Rattus norvegicus: one gene and its partners. The protein of the gene in region 1 interacts with the protein of each later gene in a pairwise test. Links are inferred from orthologs where the notes say so. Each region holds a gene or a part of one and is shown in the gene's direction. Other genes may lie near its edges.

Evidence for each region.
Region 2: the proteins of Katnal1 (region 1) and Klc4 interact in binary tests that used the Homo sapiens proteins (3 or more experiments, as listed by UniProt). The two-hybrid records come from large-scale screens. The link is inferred for Rattus norvegicus from reciprocal best matches to the Homo sapiens genes KATNAL1 and KLC4.
Region 3: the proteins of Katnal1 (region 1) and Cep57l1 interact in binary tests that used the Homo sapiens proteins (3 or more experiments, as listed by UniProt). The two-hybrid records come from large-scale screens. The link is inferred for Rattus norvegicus from reciprocal best matches to the Homo sapiens genes KATNAL1 and CEP57L1.
Region 4: the proteins of Katnal1 (region 1) and Katnbl1 interact in binary tests that used the Homo sapiens proteins (3 or more experiments, as listed by UniProt). The two-hybrid records come from large-scale screens. The link is inferred for Rattus norvegicus from reciprocal best matches to the Homo sapiens genes KATNAL1 and KATNBL1.
Region 5: the proteins of Katnal1 (region 1) and Cox17 interact in binary tests that used the Homo sapiens proteins (3 or more experiments, as listed by UniProt). The two-hybrid records come from large-scale screens. The link is inferred for Rattus norvegicus from reciprocal best matches to the Homo sapiens genes KATNAL1 and COX17.

What each region holds. Positions count from the first base shown.
Region 1 is NC_086030.1:11,137,715-11,142,035, forward strand, and holds the start of Katnal1 (katanin p60 ATPase-containing subunit A-like 1), read left to right. Parts: upstream 1-1,438; 5' UTR 1,439-1,504; exon of another isoform or gene 1,505-2,074; intron 2,075-4,321. UniProt on the Homo sapiens protein: Regulates microtubule dynamics in Sertoli cells, a process that is essential for spermiogenesis and male fertility. Severs microtubules in an ATP-dependent manner, promoting rapid reorganization of cellular microtubule arrays.
Region 2 is NC_086027.1:21,833,929-21,838,020, forward strand, and holds the start of Klc4 (kinesin light chain 4), read left to right. Parts: upstream 1-1,206; 5' UTR 1,207-1,440; exon of another isoform or gene 1,441-1,451; intron 1,452-1,808; 5' UTR 1,809-1,881; intron 1,882-2,457; 5' UTR 2,458-2,463; coding exon 2,464-2,721; intron 2,722-4,092. Other genes in the region: Mrpl2 (large ribosomal subunit protein uL2m precursor), read right to left, coding at 551-646.
Region 3 is NC_086038.1:46,828,341-46,831,951, reverse strand, and holds part of Cep57l1 (centrosomal protein CEP57L1), read left to right. Parts: intron 1-1,600; coding exon 1,601-1,717; intron 1,718-2,862; coding exon 2,863-2,940; intron 2,941-3,485; coding exon 3,486-3,572; intron 3,573-3,611. UniProt on the Homo sapiens protein: Centrosomal protein which may be required for microtubule attachment to centrosomes.
Region 4 is NC_086021.1:119,672,576-119,676,186, forward strand, and holds part of Katnbl1 (KATNB1-like protein 1), read left to right. Parts: intron 1-390; coding exon 391-509; intron 510-1,105; coding exon 1,106-1,156; intron 1,157-1,242; coding exon 1,243-1,332; intron 1,333-1,818; coding exon 1,819-1,908; intron 1,909-2,849; coding exon 2,850-2,943; coding exon of another isoform or gene 2,944-3,000; exon of another isoform or gene 3,001-3,611.
Region 5 is NC_086029.1:75,909,194-75,913,587, reverse strand, and holds the start of Cox17 (COX17 homolog, cytochrome c oxidase assembly protein), read left to right. Parts: upstream 1-1,568; 5' UTR 1,569-1,661; coding exon 1,662-1,768; intron 1,769-3,952; coding exon 3,953-4,037; 3' UTR 4,038-4,041; exon of another isoform or gene 4,042-4,394.

The sequences.
Region 1 (4,321 bases):
AGCGCTCTACCACTGAGGTAAATCCCCAACCCCGAGACAGTCTCACTTTATAGCCCAGGTTGGCCTCCCGTGTTCTGAGATTACAAGTGTGAGTCACTACCCCGATCCATCATAATTTACCTGTTCTTTTCTTCTACAGGGTCTGGCACATCCCAAGCTGACCTTTATGCTTTATGTAACTCAGGTTGGTCCTGAATACTTAATCCTCCTGCTTGCATTCTCCTGAATGCTGGGTTACAGAGGTTTATGTGGTGCAGGGGCTTTAAACAAAGGAGTGACACCCTTAGTCCTAACCTAGTTCTTTTCTTTCTTTTGTATTTTTGTTTGTTTTCAAAATAGGGTTTCTTTGTGTAACAAGCACTGGCTGTCCTGGACTCAATTTGTAGACCAGGCTGGCCTCTGCCTCCTGGGTGCCAGGATTAAAGGCACTAGATACTGTGCCCTGCCTGCCCTAATTTCTTAAGAGGTAATTATGAGAAAATATTAAGGACAGTAATTCACTTCTTCTTTTTTATTGATTTATTTTCCTAAGGCATTACATCCCTTTTGAGGTAAATTTATATACAATAAAATGTACAAACCATAACTGTTCTATTCCATGAGTTCTGACAGTTACAGACATTTCCCTGACCTAAACCTTTTAAATCGGTACAGGACAACTGCCCACCTCGGCCAACCCACCTTCAACTGCTAGCCAAATATTTGGACTTTTATCACTACTGGATTAACTAGTATCTGAAAGCTACTGTGTGGGCTGCCAGACTTCTATACCGTTTCATCATCACAAACGTTTCTCTCAGGAACACAGGGATATAGTAGCTCCATTTTGCAGGCTAAAACGTCAGAGCAGGTTAGGTAAGGTGCCTCGAGTCATCGGCTACTGACCAGTTAGCCAGGGCGCTGTGTTAGAAATTTAGGTCGTTAATCCCGGCCTACACTACACTGAGGAACCTGGAGAGTGTGCAAACGTGTGCCTAAGTCACATTATAGCTTCGAATTCAATGGGTGGGGATCAGTGCCATTTACGAGTTCCAAAGAGTCCGGAATCTTCCTGTAGGCAGCGTGCACACGCCATCTTATGCAATGGCTCGGTCTCTACTCCCAAGAGGATGGCAGGAGGGGGCTGGCCAGAGGCCTTCAGTCTACAGAGATGGCTCAGCAAAGGTCGCCTCCTTAGAAGCAGCGCTCTGCCGCTGCACACGTCCCGCCCGGATGCGGCAGGTGCTGCACGCCCCACCTAGGGTCTTGGGTTCCTTCCTCATCGTGTCCGGTGAGGGCTCCGAGCTCGCCACACTCGTCCCTGCGCATCCTTCCTCACAGCCCCGCTTCCCAGCGCTGACTCAGCCCCACGCCCTCTCCGCAGCGCTGCCGCAGCTGCCATGGCAACCGTGCGCCACCGCCTCTCCGCGCCAGCCACGAACTAACGGACTCCGGGCGGCGGCTAGCGGCGCCCCGCCTCGTCCCTCCCCGCTCCTTGACAGCCCTGACCTGCAAGATCTAAGTGGTGAGCCCGAGGGGCCGGGCGTGACTGGGAGAGCCGGGTTGCGGAGCCCCGGAGGGGAGCCTCTCTCCGCAATCCCTCGGCCACCAACACCAGGCCGCTCCCGGGTAGAAGCCGGAGCGTCCAGCGGACAGTAGCACCAGTCGCAGGGTATCATGGGCCTTGTAGTTCGGTGGCTCTTCAGGCTCACCGCCTTATTTGGATGATTCGGGCCGAGAACTACAAAGCCCAGGGGTCCGGAGCGCGGCGACAGACTGATTAATTGGGAGCTGCTCAAATGGTGTTAAAGTGGCTCTTTGTCTGCAGGGAGTTCCGGGGTAGTCGCTGAATTGGGCGGTGTGCATCGGGCGGGGATAGCGCAGGTGAGCCTCAGTGCTGCGCTCCGGCCCCCGCAGCCGCCGCACTCGCGGCCCCGCCCCATCGCCACCGCGCGGGGCCTGGGCTTCTTAGGGTGCTGCCTCTCGGTGCAGAACCGTATGTATGGCGCAAGGTCGATGCGAGACCCGACAAAGCAGACCCGACAAAGTCGTCATTAAAAAGGCCTTTGCCTCCCCCCCCACCGTGAATTTCTAGGTATTTCTGCTTATTTTTCAAGTACCTCAGAGCTGTTGGCATATTAAACCCATTCATTAGCGTGTGTTCAGAGGACAGTAATATTTAAAAGGACAAATGTGAAAGCTGATGAAAGATATATTGCTGTTATTTGGTGGTGTCTTGAATATATATATATATATATATAAATATATATATATATATATAATTTTACATTTTAGCTATTAAGGTTCAATGTCATGGAGTAATGCCTCCTCCCACCCCCAACCCCCTGTTCCATCTCCATTCCCTACTTACCAGCCTGAATGTTGCCCACACGTATTTTGGTTCTACTTTAAAGACCAGTAAGGCTTTAAATGGTTAGTTTTTGCCTTTTTCTGGAGAGCTGTCTTTAGCATTTGTTTCTTTCTTCCCCAAGTACTTGCTAGAACTCACATGTGAAGCTGATGGGTCTGGAGTATTTTGGGGAGGTCTTAAATCACAAACTCTGTTTCATTGACTGATGAGATTTCTTAGTGGGTTTTGATATGCTGTGATCTCACACCCTTGTCTATTTCATTAAGTTTGCTTGACCTTTCCCTCTCTTTGAAGTTTCTATTGCTAGATCTCCTTCATTTCTGATTTGGGAAACATTTCTTCTCTTTTCCTAGCCAGCTTTACTAGAAATTTATTAATTTTATTGAACTTTCTGATGAATCTCCTTTTGACTATGTTGAAGTGTTTCGATTTCCTTTTCTATTTTTTTAAAATTTGACTGATTTATTCACATTTTATTTTGTTTTAGAGACACGGCTTCACTGTGTAGTTTTGGCAAGCTAGAACTCACTATGCAGACCAGGGTGTCCTAGAACTCAGAGATCTGCCTCCCTGTCTCAGAATGCGGGGATTAGGCAGGACTTAGGCATGACTCAGGTCGATTTCCTCTCTTTAGTATGTGTAGTGAGAACTTTGGTTTTTTTAACATGTAATTTACATAGAAATCTTGTAAGAATTGTTTTCATTTTAATCCCAGGTATGGGATATATGGGCTGCTTCAGATTGTCCATAGCAGTTGGCTATGATTTGCCTCATGCTCTACCAGGGATATGACTTTTGCCAACAGGCAGATAGTTTCTGTGACTGTAATGTTTGGAATTCTGGGGACTTCTCAGAGGGTATATAAATGCTATGGCTCCAAGAGGTGGGGTTGGTTGTTGATCACCAGTCATTAAGTAGTTATGCCTATGCAGAGAAGAAACAACAAGAAGAAATTAGATCTCCTGATGGCAAAGATTGAGCTTGCCCTGAGGAACTTGACACCCCTAATCATTATAAGTAGTCCTGATGAAGGCTCTTCAATCCCGGGCCTCTAGCTTGCTTGTTCTGTAGCATGAGTATAAGGTTTGGTAGCCCAAAGCCAGCAGATTCTATGGGCGTCTCTTATTCTCAACTATGTTTCTCTGTACCTCTAGGCATTTTTGTTTTGTTTTGGCCTTTAAGTGAAGATTTCTCTCATTAAAAAAAAATCCCAGATTTCTTTAGTTTCAGGAATTTCTTCATATTTCATAAACAAATCTCCCGGAAATAGAAGAGCTGACCAATCACTCAGATATGAACTCAACCATCCACCTTCCGTACTTCTCCAGGTCTGCAGAAGAGACAGACTTGGCGATTTTCTTCAGCGCCAACTCCAAGTCCCCTCTGGTGACAGGCACCTGCAGCTCCTCCTTGGACAGGGCCGGGATCTCTCCTGGTGTTAAATCATTGATGTGACACCTCATTCTGTGTCTCTGTAATCACAGGCAGAGGAGTACTACAAAGTCACCACAAGCATTCTATTACAAAGTCACCACAAACATCCTGAGGACTATGTAATGTGTGCTTTCCAGATACCACTTAGAAGTCTCCACTTCAGTCACATCCTGAAGTTTCAGAAGAGGTTTAAAACCCATGCAGGCACTGGAGAGAGAGAGAGTTCAGTTGGTGCTGGTTATGGAAGCCTAAAGACCAGGGGTTCAATTCCCAAAGCTCCTCAAAAACCAGGGTGAGGCCAGGGGTGGCGGTACACACATTTAGTCAAGTAACCAGAAAGAAGAAGCAGGTTGACTTCTTTGAGTTTCGCAATTGTGTGACATTTGGAATTCTGGAGACCTCAGAGGCTGTGCTGGTTTGAATAAGCTTGTTCCATGGGAAATGACACTATTAGGAGGTGTGGCCTGGTTGGAGTATGTGCGGCATTTTGGAGGATGCGAGTCACTGTGTAGGCGGGCTTCGAGGTCCTATGCTCAG
Region 2 (4,092 bases), on another chromosome or scaffold:
ATAATTTCTTTTTTTCTGTGATTCACCATTGCCCACTTCAGACCCACTGGTTGACATTCCCTAATATCAGCCACAACCTATCCACACATTAAAATGGTTAAGAGCACTGGTTCTGGTGTGAGGTGTGTAGGTCAGAGGTAAAAGTGCACAGCATGAGCAAGGCTCTAGGTTTAATTTGAAGTACGAGAGCAAAAACAAAAGCAAGCTCTGAAGTCAGTCTGTCAAGTCCCAGAAGGTGTAAGACTTAGACTGTTGACCAGTGTTCTCATCTGCAAAATGTGCACAACTTTCAGGAGTTCCTTTAATTCAGTCCTCTATTCTGCTTGGTTTGCGGTTGGCACATTAATGTTACCATTGCAACCTGTTTAGTAAAGATTTGCAAAAGTACTTGGAAGCCAGTATCTCGCTGACGAATGGAGCTTTCGGAGAGAGCAGCATTTACAAACAGCAAAGGATGAAGGCAAGTTTACCCAAGGTCACGTGATCCCGACTAGCCTTGAGGGATCACTGACACCCCAGGCGGATTTTATTTCCCAGGTAAGCGGATTACCTGGCCAACAGGAAGCAGAGTCGGAACCCGGGCGGTAATGGCCGGGGATGCCAGGCTCAAGGAGCGCAGAGCACTAGCCAGCGCGCACAGGGCCATGGAATGGTCAGATTCCTCCGTACAGAACTCGCTTTTACCTTTACCCAGAGCCTGGTGCTCTTAAATGACGTTTCATTCGGGGTACCGTCGCTTTTCAATGACGTAAGAGAGGCGGGCACAGAAGTGCAGCGCCGTAAGATACAAGCTTTCTTTCCTCCCTAGAACAAGTTCTTAGCCAATCATTGGAAGGCACTGAGGTCACATGATGGAAGACAGTCCCCGCCCCTCAGAGCCGTCAAAACAATTGCCTCGAGCGGCAGCCATGATATATTTAAAGGAGCAGTACCCACGAAGGCGGCAGCGGGACCAGCAGACTGCAGGTGAGTCTTTGGGAGTACCCCTGGGGCTGAGAATTAAGATTACACTAACTCTTATTCCCACATTCTGGGACAAATGAGTAAGTCACTTCCTACTAACCACACAAAACTTCAGACTGACTCAAAAACTCCGCCCCCCGCGATTCTTCCCCGCCCCTCGGCGTCCAGACAGACAGTAGGACAACCTGCCCCGCCCCCTGTGGGAACCCCTGACTCCGTGACCTCGAGCTTGTCCGCTGTCGGGTCTTGGTCAGCGACTCTGCCCTCACTTCCACCTTCCTCTCCCCTCAGCCCTCGAAGATCTTACTTCTGTCCTTACCCTCGGCTCTCAGGGCAAGTTAGGACCCTTAGACACTCCTGATTGTAGGCCCCCAGGCTTGGATAGCCTGCGCTCAGCGCCTTTCTCTATGACCCCACTGTGCACGGCAGATCTGCTACGCTTCCCTGGACCATCCGGCACTTGAGAGGCAACTTAAGGTGCCTGTTAGGTGATTATGTCAGACAAAGCCATGAAAGGCGGCTATTGCGGTAATCCAGTCGGGAATCTGTAACCAGGTCTCCCTTTAACAGGCACACCACACCCATTGCTTCAGGTCTCAGATTAAATCGGTCTTTCTTTCCCTTATTGGGAGAAAGTAACTCCTCAGAGCTAGAACGAGGAGATTGAGGAAGAAGGGACATTAGTACGAGTCTCTGAAGAACCTGTAGGCTGAAGGAGGGAGGGTGTTTGTCCTGGGTGGGGCTCTGTGCCAGGTCCTCTGGGAGGCTGTGAGGTGGTGACAGAGAAGGGGTGGGACTGCCGGACTTCTGGACTTTGGGCAGTACAAATCCTTCTAAATCCTTAGTTGCAGGTCAGAGTTTCTTCCGGGCTCTGGCCTGGGAGCCACCTGAAACCAAGGGCTTCTGCTCTGTACACAGGTAAGGAGACTTCGGAAATGAGTTTGGAGGAAGTAGGAAGACAGTCTGAATTCTGGGGGTGGGGTGGGCTGGGAAAGTTAGTTGGAAAGGAGTTTAGCAGGTCGGGAGGTGCTGGGCTTAGTCCCTTGCTGATGCAGTCTGAAGACCTTCAACCTTCCAAGCCCTGTAATAACCACTGCTGTTTCCTCTCCCCCTCCTTCACTAAGCTTGGGTCCTTCCCCTTTATATTGGGACAGTGCTTTCTGCACAGCTCTTCCACCCGCCCTCTGTGATCCTTACAGTGCTTCACATCCCCTGCTTCCTTTTCCTAACCCATGCTCTCTCTCCAATTGCCAAGTCCTAAATTCCTCTAGCTCTAAGCCCGCCCGATTGTTCTAAAGATCTTTATTGAAGTTCATTCCTCTCCCTCACCTTACTTTTACGGTTAGTGCGGTGGAATTTCCTCCTCTTTACCTAGGCCCTTTCGTCAGCTTAGTCATGGGGGTCTCCCATCCTCTTCCCTTCGTGTGGATGCCCACCAGTCTCTAACATTGTGTCTTTCGTCGTTTCCACCTGAACTCTGTGGTTTCTCTTTAGCTGAGGATGTCAGGCCTGGTATTGGGGCAGCGGGATGAGCCTGCAGGGCACCGGCTCAGTCAAGAGGAGATCTTGGGCAGTACCAGGTTGGTGAGCCAAGGGCTGGAGTCCCTACACAGTGAGCACCAGGCTGTGCTACAGAGCCTGTCCCACACCATCGAGTGTCTGCAACAGGGAGGCCATGAGGAAGGACTGGTGCATGAGAAAGCCCGGCAGCTGCGACGGTCTATGGAGAACATTGAGCTGGGACTCAGCGAGGCCCAGGTAAGAATCAGGGGTGATACCAAGTGTTCCAGTTATCTGATGCAAGTTTGGGGTCACCTTGTCCTAGAAACTTGGATTTGTTAATTCATTAAATATTCATTAAGTGACTACTGTGTGTCTCAACTCTTGTGAATGCTGGTGGTGCATTACAGAACAACACTGAGTAATTCCTCTCTGAGCTGATATTATAGCTGGGGGGATAGCTAGAACACAGGTCCATAAGTAAATGATTTACTGTGCCAGAGTAATCATTGCTGAGGACAGAACAAAGACAAAGACAGAAGGGAAGGAGCTGGAGAGATGGCGCTGGCTGCTCTTCCAGAGGTCCTGAGTTCAATTCCCAGCAATGGTGGCTCACAACCATCTGTAATGGGACCCGATGCCCTCTTCTGGTATGTCTGAAGAGAATGTAGTCATAGACATAAAATAAATAAATCTTTAAGAAAGGAGGGAAGTAGGAAGAGGATGCATTTTCACACAGATTGGTCATAAAATAACCTCACTTTTGAGCAAAGATTTGAGGGTGAAAAAGGAAGTCATGGGATAAAGGGTTCCAAGCAGGTAGGACAGGTGCAAAGGCTTTGCGTGGAGCCTGGGGTGAATTTAGTGATTTACAGCGCTGGTGTGGCTTTCTACAGGGTACACAGTGAGTGAGGGGACACAGTAGATCACTCCGGAGGAGGAAGGATCCCATCAGAGACATCCACAGATAGTGTGGAGCCGGCAGGCTGTCCTGGGGTTTTTTGCTTGTCTGTTGAGAGAGATGGGAGCTGTTGGGACGTCTGAGGAGGGATGGGACTCAGCCTGGGAGAGAGTAGAACTAGAGACTAACAGAGACAGGGAGGCCTGGGAGAGGCTGCTATTGTCTAGGTAGGAACTGGCAGTTTGGCATCTGATGAAAACAATAGGGGTGCTGGCAGCTGGGGTTAGTTTATGTATTTAATTCCGTTCATTCATTTATGGATTTAGTTATTTATTTTATGTATATGAGTATACTGTCACTCTCTTCAGACACACCAGAAGACAGCATTGGATCCCATTACAGATGGTTGTGAGTCACCATGTGGGTGCTGGGAATTAAACTCAGGACCTCTGGAAGAGCGGTCAGTGCTCTGAGCCTCTGACCCATCGCTCCAGCCCGAGTATTTCTCTTTTTTAATTCCATTCATTTATTTTATATATACAGGTGTTTTGTCTGCATCTATGAGTATATGCTACCTGTAATCTAGTATGTGCAGAGGCCAGAAGAGGCCATTGGAGCCTCTGGAACTGGAGTTACAGGTGGCTGTGAGCCAACATGTTGGTGCTAAGAATTGAAGCCAGACCCTCAGGAAGAGCAACCAGTGCTCTCTTAATCTCTGAGACATCTCT
Region 3 (3,611 bases), on another chromosome or scaffold:
GCATTGGTAACTGACGGACTGTGTACCACTCTGTGGGTGGGAACCGGAGCCAGTCGAGTGGTCCTCAGCCTAAGGCCTGTGATTACGATACCCTGTATCTCAGCTATTCACACTACGATTCTGTCTCAGTGAGGGTCTCGCTGTGAACAGACGCCATGACCAAGGCAAGTCTCATAAGGACAACATTTAACTGGGGCTGGCTTACAGGTTCAGAGGTTCAGTCCATTATCATCAAGGCAGGAGCATGGCAGTGTCCAGGCAGGCACGGGGCAGGAGGGGCTGAGTTCTACATCTTCACCCAAAGGAAGCCAGGAAAGACTGAGCATCCTCAGGTAGCCAGGAGGAGGGTCTCCAAGCCCAGTCTGACAGTCATACACCTCCTCCAACAAGGCCACACCTCCTAATAGTGCCATTTTTTTGAGCATATGCATATGCAAACCATCACAGATTCATAAAAGTAGAAAATTACAGTTATGAATGAAGTAGCAACAAAATTTTGTGGTTGGGGGTTTACCAGAATATGAAGAACTGTACTAAAGGGTTACAGCACTTTTAAAAAGGTTGAGAACTGCAATAAATGACCAACTAACGTCTCATGCCATAGCCAACTCCGTTCAGAGCTCAGACGAATTACATAGTGAGGGTAAGAAAGGTCACTGATAAAGTTCTCCTGAGTACAAGCTGCGTATGTAATCCCACAGATAAGCCACACGGGGCAGGAGCCTGTTCCACAGGCGGTGATGGACAGTTTACATCTCATTGAGTAACGGCGGCAGCCGTATTGAGTAGACTCCCTCCATCCGCTGCACCAGGAGAAGCAGGGAAATGATACAAGAACAATTCCAGGGTTTGAAGAAACTGAGCTCACAAGACTCTTGTTTTCTTGGAGTTTTCTCACAAGCACCCCGAATTCTCCTCCCAATGTTCCATTCCTAGTCTGTGTTAATCTCTCCATTTTAAATTACTTTTGGACATTTTTGGTCTTTTTTCTTCCAGCGGGCTTCTGTCTTACTCCCTCTGTTCTCTGAGGCTCCAGGACTGGGCAGAAGTCCCCGCTCTTCTGCTGCTCGCTTTGCATTTTGTCTTAGTGGCCTTCCTATTTAGAGCCATTTTATGTTCAGAGGAGAGCACATACAGGTCTCCCTTGGCCCTCGTCGGTTGTCCTCATGACGTGGTTGGTAATAAACAGTCCTGTAAGACAGTGTGCATGTGTGTGCACGGTGACTTTCTTCATGGTTTATTCCCTGGCTGCTCTTTCCGTTGAGTCAGGGAGCCTGGGAGTGAGCGACGTGGTCACCCGTGAGTCACACACACCTCGTCTCCTTACTGTAAGTGTTGCTGTGATGTTTTGCCTAGTGCCACTGTTGTAGAAAGACACAAAGAGGAATTTATTCTGCCAATGCTAAGTCAGCAACGTGTCCATCATCTCTTACAGTGGCACCTTAAAAGGATTTGAATTTCTACTCATATATGCACACACACGTGTGTATACATGCTTCTAGCAACCGACTTATGTTATATTTTGGTTTCTCAGAAGTTATGTTGTTCGTGATCCACTGGCATCGCTGCCAAGTGTGGAATTGGTTCTTATCTTCACCAGGCCCAGCTTCAGAGGGAAAAAGAACAAGATCAGATGAAGCTACACGCTAAACTGGAGAAGCTGGACGTCTTAGAAAAAGAGTGTTTGAGGCTGACGACGACCCAGCAGACTGCGGAGGTAAGCGTCTGCTTGTCCCTGAAGCTACGGTGCCAGGAGCGAGGCGAAGCTGGCATTGAACGTGACGGAACGGTCACAGATTGGGGCAGTTCCTGTAGAGTGCTCAGTAATCTGGGTAAATCCTGCCCGTGGAGACAGTGTGTTCTGTCACACTCGGCTATCAGAGGATGGGCTTGGCTTCTATGATGATGGAACATTTCCATTCAGCCGGTGTCTGACCTAAAGGATAGTATATGGTCACACCTCTCCCACATGGGGTTCCTCCTCCCCCAAGTCCTTATTGCACAGAATTGTTTCAGAACCCCACCCCCCAAACCCCTCTTTGTAGGCCCTCTTATGCTCCATACACAGAAGTCTCTGCCTTTGACACTTCTGTCATGGTTCCAATTCTGAACCACACCAAGGTAATATGTGCGTGTGTAAGGTATACAGTGAGTGTCTAAGGTATACAGTGCACATGTGTAAGGTATACAGTGCACATGTGTAAGGTATGCAGTGCACATGTGTAAGATATACAGTGCACATGTGTAAGGTATACAGTGCACATGTGTAAGGTATGCAGTGCACATGTGTAAGGTATACAGTGCACATGTGTAAGGTATACAGTGCACATGTGTAAGGTATGCAGTGCACATGTGTAAGGTATACAGTGCACATGTGTAAGGTATACAGTGCACATGTGTAAGGTATGCAGTGCACATGTGTAAGGTATACAGTGCACATGTGTAAGGTATGTAGTGCACATGTGTAAGGTATGCAGTGCACATGTGTAAGGTATACAGTGCACATGTGTAAGTTATGCAGTGCATTTGTAAGGTATACAGTGCACATGTGTAAGGTATACAGTGCATGTGTGTAAGGTATGCAGTGCATTTGTAAGGTATACAGTGCACATGTGTAAGGTATACAGTGCATGTGTAAAGTATACAGTACACATGTGTAAGGTATGCAGTGCACGTGTGTAAGGTATGCAGTGCATTTGTAAGGTATACAGTGCACATGTGTAAGGTATACAGTGCATGTGTAAAGTATACAGTACACATGTGTAAGGTATGCAGTGCACGTGTGTAAGGTATGCAGTGTGCACTGGAAAGGGGATGAGGGACATTTGGCTCTGGCTTTCATCCACGTTCCTTCTCTTGCAGGAGAAGATTAAATATCTAGAGGAAAAACTAAAGGAGGAGGAGCACCAGCGCAGGCTGTTTCAAGATAGAGCGTGTGAGGTCAGTAGCAACTTTTGTCTCTGCCGTGGCCTCATCTATGTGTGCTTCACTCTCATGATCCCAGCCATAGTCTGCACTGTTTTGGTATTCTGGGTTGTTACGACTGTCTCTGTTTTTGCCGTGGTAACAAAATTCTTGCTTAGCCCATGCCTCCATAGACTTCTCTACGTTGCCAACAGACCTTGCCATACCCACCCTCTCAGGTGAGACCGCTGACGCCTCACGTACTTCAGTTCCGGTGTGAGAGTCACCTATGACCAAACCAACATACGGGGTTATTCTTCCTCAACGATGTCCGGGTTTTGAGCTCTATTGTTTAGTTTTGTTTTCTTTCTTTTCTTTGCTTCCACATGGAGGCTCACGGCGCCTCCCAGGCTGGCTGAACTCCTGGGCTCCTGCAGTCCTGCTTTGGCCCCATCCAAGTCACTGCAGCTGAGCAATGCTTTGCCCCCAGGAAGTCCCTTTTCCCCAACAGCTGAGATCTCGCCTTTCGTTCTACATGAAGAAGCTTGCTACAGCTCAGTCTCGTCTCTTTGTTTTTGTAGCTTCAAACTGGACTTGAAATCAGCAAAATCTTAATGTCCACAGTTTCTAGTTCAAAGCTTTGTAACGAAAGGAAGAAACTACCAAAGGTGCGTTATCTCCAGTCATCCCAGACAATCCTTCCTAAC
Region 4 (3,611 bases), on another chromosome or scaffold:
AGTTTTCATAACAGGATTGCATTATAGATGGCACATTTGTCATGTTTGTGACAGGACCACAGCCCAGTCTGTGCTTTCTCTCTCGTGCTGCTCATTTGATAATTACTAGCCTATGTGCTTCCCTTTTCTCTGTCTCCATATCCATAAAGTTCACCTAGAAATAACTTACTGGATAAACTACTGGGATTTTGAAAAAACACTAGCAAGGAGGGAGGAGAGAAAAAGTAGAATTTGCTCACATCATTCACTGTATTCAACTGTAAATTACAGTATAAGAAGTTACCTGTGCATAGTTTAAGGCTGTGTCTACCAGACCATTTTTATTTTAAAAAAAAAGTCTGTGTCATGTTTCATGGTTTTTTTTTAACAGATTAGATGATTGCCTTTCAGGTTTCTCAGGACCATGAGACAATGGCCCAAGTTCTATTCAGCAGGAATTTGAGATTGAATGTAGCTTTGACTTTCTGGAGAAAGAGAAGTGTTAGTGAACTTGTAGCTTATTTAGTGAGGTGAGTATGATGTTTTTGTTTCTGTTTAACATGGGTAATTTTTTAATGAGATATGAAAAGTGTCTTTTGAGGAAGTTTTTATTGGTTAAGATGTAAACATTGTATTTAGTGTCCATAGAGACTCTATAGTTTAAATCACATCCATCACCAGTTTAAGTGTAATGAGGGTACAGAAAACTTGCAGATTAAACAAGCTGTTGCTTTTTCTGGTTACAATTCTATTCTTATCTGTAAAACTAAAAATGGGAAACCTGCCATTTGAAAAAAATCCTCTCTGGGAATCTTAAGCATCACCCTCCTCATCGTATTTAAGCCTCTGAAGTACTACCTTACTGAGTGATGCCTACTCCATGCCTCACTGAGTACCTTCTTGAAAAAGATGTGCTTCATCCCCCATGTCGTTTTCTATGCCTCCTACACCCACTCAGGCACTGGAAAGCAAGCCCTGTCTCTGTTTCCCCTTTGTGTCCTCAGTACTTGCCTCATGATAAATGCTGAAGTTATTTGTTGAATATCAAATGCCTCGAGAGGAGGATGGAGATTATAATGTGAATGACTAAGGACACTAAGCAATGGTATCTGTCTTGTACTCACAGGATAGAAGACCTTGGAGTTGTGGTAGATTGCCTTCCTGTTCTAACCAATAGGTAAATGCAGTAATTTTTTTTCCAGAAAAAAAAAAAAGCTTTAAAGAAAAACAAATTTTAATCAGTTCGTATTTTATAACTTTTAGTTTACAGGAAGAAAAGCAATGTATCTCTCTTGGCTGCTGTGTAGACTTATTTCCTCTAGTAAAGTCTTTACTTCAAAGCAGATTTGAAGAGTAAGTGCTAATTTAAATCTCAGCTTCCTTTTTCTCTTTCAACATTCTTGATTTTTCTGTTTTGTGAGTACATGGTAGGAGACTGAGCTCCTGTACGTTTGGGAAATACATGATACCTGTTTTGGTAATTTTAATTAAAACACCTTCACTACACTTTATTTATTGTGACAGTGGGGTAAGAGAGCACCTTCTAGAAGTTGGTTCTCCATCCACCTTGTGAATTCAGATTTACTGTTTGTCAGCTTTAGGCTCAGATTCATTTACCCACTGAGCCCTTTTCTCCAGCCCTATTTCTGTTTCCAAGGCGTTTCCGAAAGGATCTAAGAACAGCTATGTAGTTTCTATGGCTTTTGAATAGATCATGAAAGCAGTAAAATATATTTTTTTAAGGGGAGTGATTGGCGTATATCTGCGGGAACTTTGGGAATATAGTCATTGTTATAGGCTTATAAAACATTTACATTTTGTCACAATATTTTATTTCAGATATGTAATTGTTGGCTTAAACTGGCTTCAAGCAGTAATAAAAAGGTGGTGGTCAGAACTCTCATCTAAATCAGAAATTATAAGTGATGGGTAAGTATAACTTTAAAGATAATTTGTGCTGGACTTTCTATGGAAAAGTATCTTAATTAAACAAAGTAATGAGTTTATTCTGTGATCATCATTGTATAATTTTATTTCCTTCATTTTTAGAGAAATATTAAATAGGTACTTTATGTTTTTGAAAAACCATGCAGAGTCTTATAACTCCTTTTATCTCTGCTGCCAGAACCTTACCTTTTATTTTATGTTTTGTTTTGTGACACTCTCACTGTGTGTCTTCAGCCCCAACATCCTCGGTGCTGATGTGAGACAGCATACCTATCTGGACCCTTCCCTCAGGAGGGGTAACAGCACAGCAGTGGCGTAACCTCTCCAAGCACTGTACCAGGAAGGTAGAAGAAAGCCCTTGGTGTAGTAAGGAATGGAAGTATTCTGACAGGTCTCTGAACATGGTTATAATCGGCATGATTTGACTATTGCCTAAACTTGAAAATGTGTGAGGAGTCTCCCAAATGAACTGAACTCAAGCCAGGCATGGTGGAACACGCCTATAATCCCAGCACTGGGAAGGCCAAGTCAGGAAGAATACAAGTTTGAGGCTAGCATAGGCTGCAGAGCAAGACTCTGTATTTTTTTTTTTAAAGGAACAAAGAAACAAAAAGCCAGATGGTGTTGAAAACAATACAGTCTCTCCCCTAATTCCCTCTTAAATTCCATAACCTTTGTAGACTCAACAAAATTTTCCACTTCATACCCAAGAAAGTTGTCCACTTGGTACAAATGCCTGCTTGCTGTCTCATCTACTTTGACAACCAAATATCTATGAATTTCTGTCTGGAATGGCATATACCATTTTAAGAAGTTGCTTGATTTTAGTATATGGTTTTCTACTGATACAAATAAATTAAAACCAAGTCTTTATCTTACTGTTGGCTTTCTTGTTTTTCTTTCTTTCTTCTTTTTTCCTTCAGAAATATTAAGATTTTAAAGCAACAGTTGAATGGATTATGGGAACAGGAAAACCATCTTACTTTGGTTCCAGGATATACTGGTAATATAGCTAAGGTAATCTATATTTGTAATTTAAGAGTGATACATGAATTTAATATTGATCTATATTGATACGCTTATCTCTTACAGGAAAAAGGCACATTGCTAGTTGGGATTTTAATATTTAAACTTTTAGAGGTCATTGATAGTTGATGATTGCAGAAAGAATTGGTGGTAAGAAGTATTTCCACCTTACTGCTGGGCGTTTGCTGTCTGAGTAGTTATTTGCTGGGAAATAAAGACATTGTATGGTTTAAGGAAATGTTAACGTCACTGGCTCATGAGGTTTTCTTGGACATCTATGTAAAAAGAAACACATGAGATTGAGCATTAACTACATCACTATGTGATTGTACACACATTTCCCTGACCTCTACCCCATCCCATTTCCCCCTCCCTACCTGACCTCTTTGTCTTTGTTTTTGCTGAGACAGTTTTACTCTGGAGCCCTGACTGGCCTGGAATTTGCTATGTAGGCTAGGCTGACCTCAAAGTCACAGAAATCTGCCTGCCTTTGCCTCCCAAGTTCTGGGATTAAAGCCTTATAAACAGTTCTGTTTTTCTGAAGTTGTTTTGTGCTTACAGTTTTAAAGTATATATAACACATTACTGTGAAGACTTTAGTAGAGCTCAAAGCATTGTTTGCCTAACATTTTTTTTTTTTTTTAATGTTACTGAGACAG
Region 5 (4,394 bases), on another chromosome or scaffold:
GTTTTAAAACGAAGTTGCTTTGCCTTTAGACACATCATATAGGATAGCAAATGGAACCTTGGGAGAGGTGGAACCTCGTGAGCTATGTAGCTCTGAACAAATTATATGCCTTTCTGAACCCTGATCTGTTATGAGGATTAAATGACTCTCACACCCAGCACTACACATGGGAGGTATGATGCTGACGATTATATTGTTCCTTCTTGAATTTAATTGTTCCAGGAAAAGGTATGTTCAATTCTACTGATGAGTGACAATTTATAATAGAAACCAGGTTAGGAGGGTCTGTAACTCAGTTTGTAGGTTGTCTGCCTGGCAAGCAGGAAGACCTTATACACCGGGTATGCATGGCACACACTTGTAATGCCGATATTTAGTGATCAGTTCAGGGTCATCCACAGAACGTTCAAGGCCAGCTTAGGCCAGAGACCTTGTCTATACACATATTTATATTAAAAGTTAAAACCACTTTTGGGGGCTGGAGAGGTGGCTCAGCGGTTAAGAGCACTGAGTGCTCTTCCAGAGGTCCTGAGTTCAATTCCCAGCAACCACATGGTGGCTCACAACCATCTGTAACGGGATCCGATGCCCTCTTCTGGTGTGTCTGAAGACAACTACAGTGTACTCATATAAACAAACAAACCACTTTTTTTTCCTGCCGAATTCACAGATAGTCTGAGGAAGCCACTCAAAAATGTGGCAAATGTTAAATGCTGTACATTTTAGTAAACTTCTTTACAGTTAGAATGGCTGGTTTGGGGGTTGGGGATTTAGCTCAGCGGTAGAGCACTTGCCTAGCAAGCGCAAGGCCCTGGGTTCAGTCCCCAGCTCTGAAAAAAAAAAAAAAAAGAATGGCTGGTTTGAAGCAATGGCGCTCTACTGAGGGGTTTACACTTTCAAGATCAGTTACCATTACATTTACTTATCCAACACACACACACACACACACACACACACACACACACACACACACACACACACGAGAGAGAGAGAGAGAGAGAGAGAGAGAGAGAGAGAGAGAGAATGAGAGACAGAGAGAGCCTTTCATAACTACGGTGTCATGATATATTAGCTGAAGATTTAGCATATATGCCGGGGAGAAATAGGAAGTAGAGGACCTTTGTACCAAATATCTGCGGAACATATATTAAACCAGAAAGACCGGAAGAAAGATCACAAAATGCCCTAGGGTGGAACCTGGATCTGCCACTGGTTGTCCAGGACCCAGAGGTCAGCCATTAAAATATGAATACAGATAGCATTACAGTGGACTGAACGGGTTATAAAGGAATATATGTATACATATATGCATGCAATAACAATTAGGGAGGAAAAGGCCACGAATTTGAAGGATAGTGGGGAACGGGCGTGTATATGTGAGGATTTGTAGAAAGGAAACAGAAAAGGGAAATGTTGCAATCAAATTACAATCTCAAAAACAAACCAAATAGCAAAACCACCCTAGATGACCTTTTAACCTTTTGGTCTGCGCTAAAGCCACGCCCTTTTGTGTGCGCGCTCCTTAGGCTCGCTTCCGTCCGGAGAGGAGGGACTTCCTGTCTGCGTTCGCTTGACTGCGGAAGTGGATACAGACAGCTCGGGTTGGTCTGAGTTTTGGGAGCTTTGCGCGTGTGCGATCGTTACTGCTTTCCTCTGGAAAGATGCCGGGACTGGCTGCCGCTAGCCCTGCCCCGCCCGAGGCTCAGGAGAAGAAGCCTCTGAAGCCCTGCTGTGCCTGCCCGGAGACCAAGAAGGCGCGTGATGCGTGGTCAGTGCGCAGCCGGGGAGGGGACTCCGGGCTTCCGCTGCTTGGCTCCGTTCTACTCTCTGGCATCTGTCTTAGTTAGGGGTCAACGAGAGGGCAAGAGGTTAGATTGACCCCAAAGTTCGGGTCCTTCATTCCTTGCTACAAATGCCTTTCAGGCTTCTTAGATGCATAAAGATGTTCCTTGATTTAAAGGCACTTAAAATGTGTGGAGACTTGTTACCAGCCAGTACTATGCCACCTGCTATGGTATAGATTTACTAAGACCCAGGTGTAAATGTTTCAGGTAATCTCTAGTAATTTTTTTTTCTTTGAAACGTGTGAATAGTAGAACACAGGGTACATTTCTGAAGGGATACCCTTTCCCAGAAGTTAGAAGTCACCTGTCAGGGACTGGAGAGATGGCTCAGTGGATAAAAGCCCTGGTTGACCTTCCAGAGAGAGGGCCTGGCTTCGATTCCCACCACTCAGGCGTTGGTTAACAGTCTTCTGTAATTCCAGTCCCAGAAGAATCCGACGCCCCCTTCTAGCTTTTTCAGGCACTGCACACACATGGTGCACAGGTGTACATGCAGGCAAAATACCTATACACATAAAATAAAAACAAATTGCAAAAAGCCAGTCTGTACAGATTAGGTGATAATAATGTTTACCTATTCTATCATCAAATCACAAAAGGTTTTGCTTGGTCTCCTGACTTTTATGTAGCCTCAATTCTGGAGCAGATACTGGGGTCCTCAGATGGTGGGGAATATGCATCTCCACCTTTTTCTCCCATCAAAGTAGAAAAATAGTCGTGGAACCAAATATAGATGCTCATGGTGTAGTCTCATTACTGGGGAGACCGAAACAAATTTAAGTCCAGCCTGAGCATCAGAGCGAGACCATGTCTCCAAAAAAAAAAAAAAAAAATAGACAAAACAAAGTATTCCTTGGTATAGGAAGGTAATAAGAGTGCACCTCAGTTATTTTATTCTCACTACTTTTCAAGCCATACCATAACTGGAGAATTTAAAGGTCGGTCTGATACCAAGGTTCCTGAAGTGGAGACTTCGGGAAGTGTGTGGCTCAAGATCCAGAGCTTAGAAATTCAGGCAGGCTCTGAATCCTGCTCCTCCAACTTGGTGACCTTATGAAGATACTTAACAAGTCTGCCTCACGTGTGTGTTGAGTGAGGCCAGCATTTCTGTAAGGTTTAGCAGTGAGTGTAAGTGGTGAGTGAAAGCTAGCTGTTATACTCAACCCACTGCCCTGCCCAGTCTGCTCCTCTGCTGGTAAGGATTTTAATAGAAGAACCCATTTCCCTCCTCTTTGAGACGGGGGTCTTGACATGTAGCCCAGGCTAGCCTCCTACTCAGGAGTCTCCTGCCTTAGCTTCCCAAACATGATTACAAGGCATGTGTCAGCACATTCTGGCTCTCGTGATTACTCTGTGGATTTTATCATTGAAGTCCCTTAACCTTCCAAAGAAGGATTCATCTTGGGGGCTCGTGGCTACCAGGTCTTTTTGGATGTTTATGTCGTTCGATGTTTAATGATTAAAAGTAGGCTTAGGTGTTCGAATGTAAGGGGAAAAGACAAAACAGGAGCTTAATTTCTGTGTGATAGTAGGCCCAAAAGTTAAACTCTTTCCTCGTCATTTTATGTAAACATTCAGTTTATTTCATTATAAAGAAATGTTTAGAGGTATGTCTGACTATAAAAGGGGCTGCTTGCCCCCTCCTCTCTCTCTCTTTTCTCTGCTCTCTTGCCTTCTTCTCCTTTGTCCCTTCTCTCCCCACTTCCCATCCCCCTTCCCTCCATGTGCTCATGGCTGGCCTTTACTTCTCCCCTTTTCTACTCTTCTTCTCTCATTAAACCTTTCCGAGTGGGGGGAAAAAATGTTTATTTTGGGTATAGACTAAAGGCATCATTCGTTCTACATAATTATTTCATGTAATTAGAACCTTCCCCAAACAACAACAAAAACAAACTTCAAAACCTCAGTTCTGTGGAACACCTTTGTGGGAACAGAACCGTCTTAAGAGCAAATACAGAGCGCAAAGATGCTGAGCTGTATGCTATAGGGGACTTTCGTTTGTAACTCCAGCCACATTCTGCACACGCACTGTCTCACTCCCATCACAGACTCCCCACGATTCTGCTTGTTGTCTACTTACTAGGTAACGAGTGCATTTTATTTTATAGCATCATTGAGAAAGGAGAAGAACACTGTGGACATCTCATCGAGGCCCACAAGGAGTGCATGAGAGCGCTGGGATTTAAGATATGACATGGTAAGTGAACTCTGTTGCTTCACGTCTGAGTGTCACCTTAGAGAGTCAACTACAAGACAGCATTCTCCTAATGGTAGCTTGCCTGGTTAATCTAGCATGTTTAAGTAGCAGCTTAAAAATAACTTTGCAGTTTCTAGCATGGGGTTGTAATGGTTTGGTGCCAACAATTTGAGGCACCCATTAGATCTGAGACGGTATGAAGCTTTTGAGAACTGGCTTGATAAGGGCCTTTAGTTACATTGTAGTCAGGGAGAAGGCATAGCCGTGGGAGGCACACTATTTTCCAAGGTGAAGGAACTAAGTGGAAAATATTCTGTTTCCTGTTTCTAATATGGGTCTGCAGTAAAACGTGT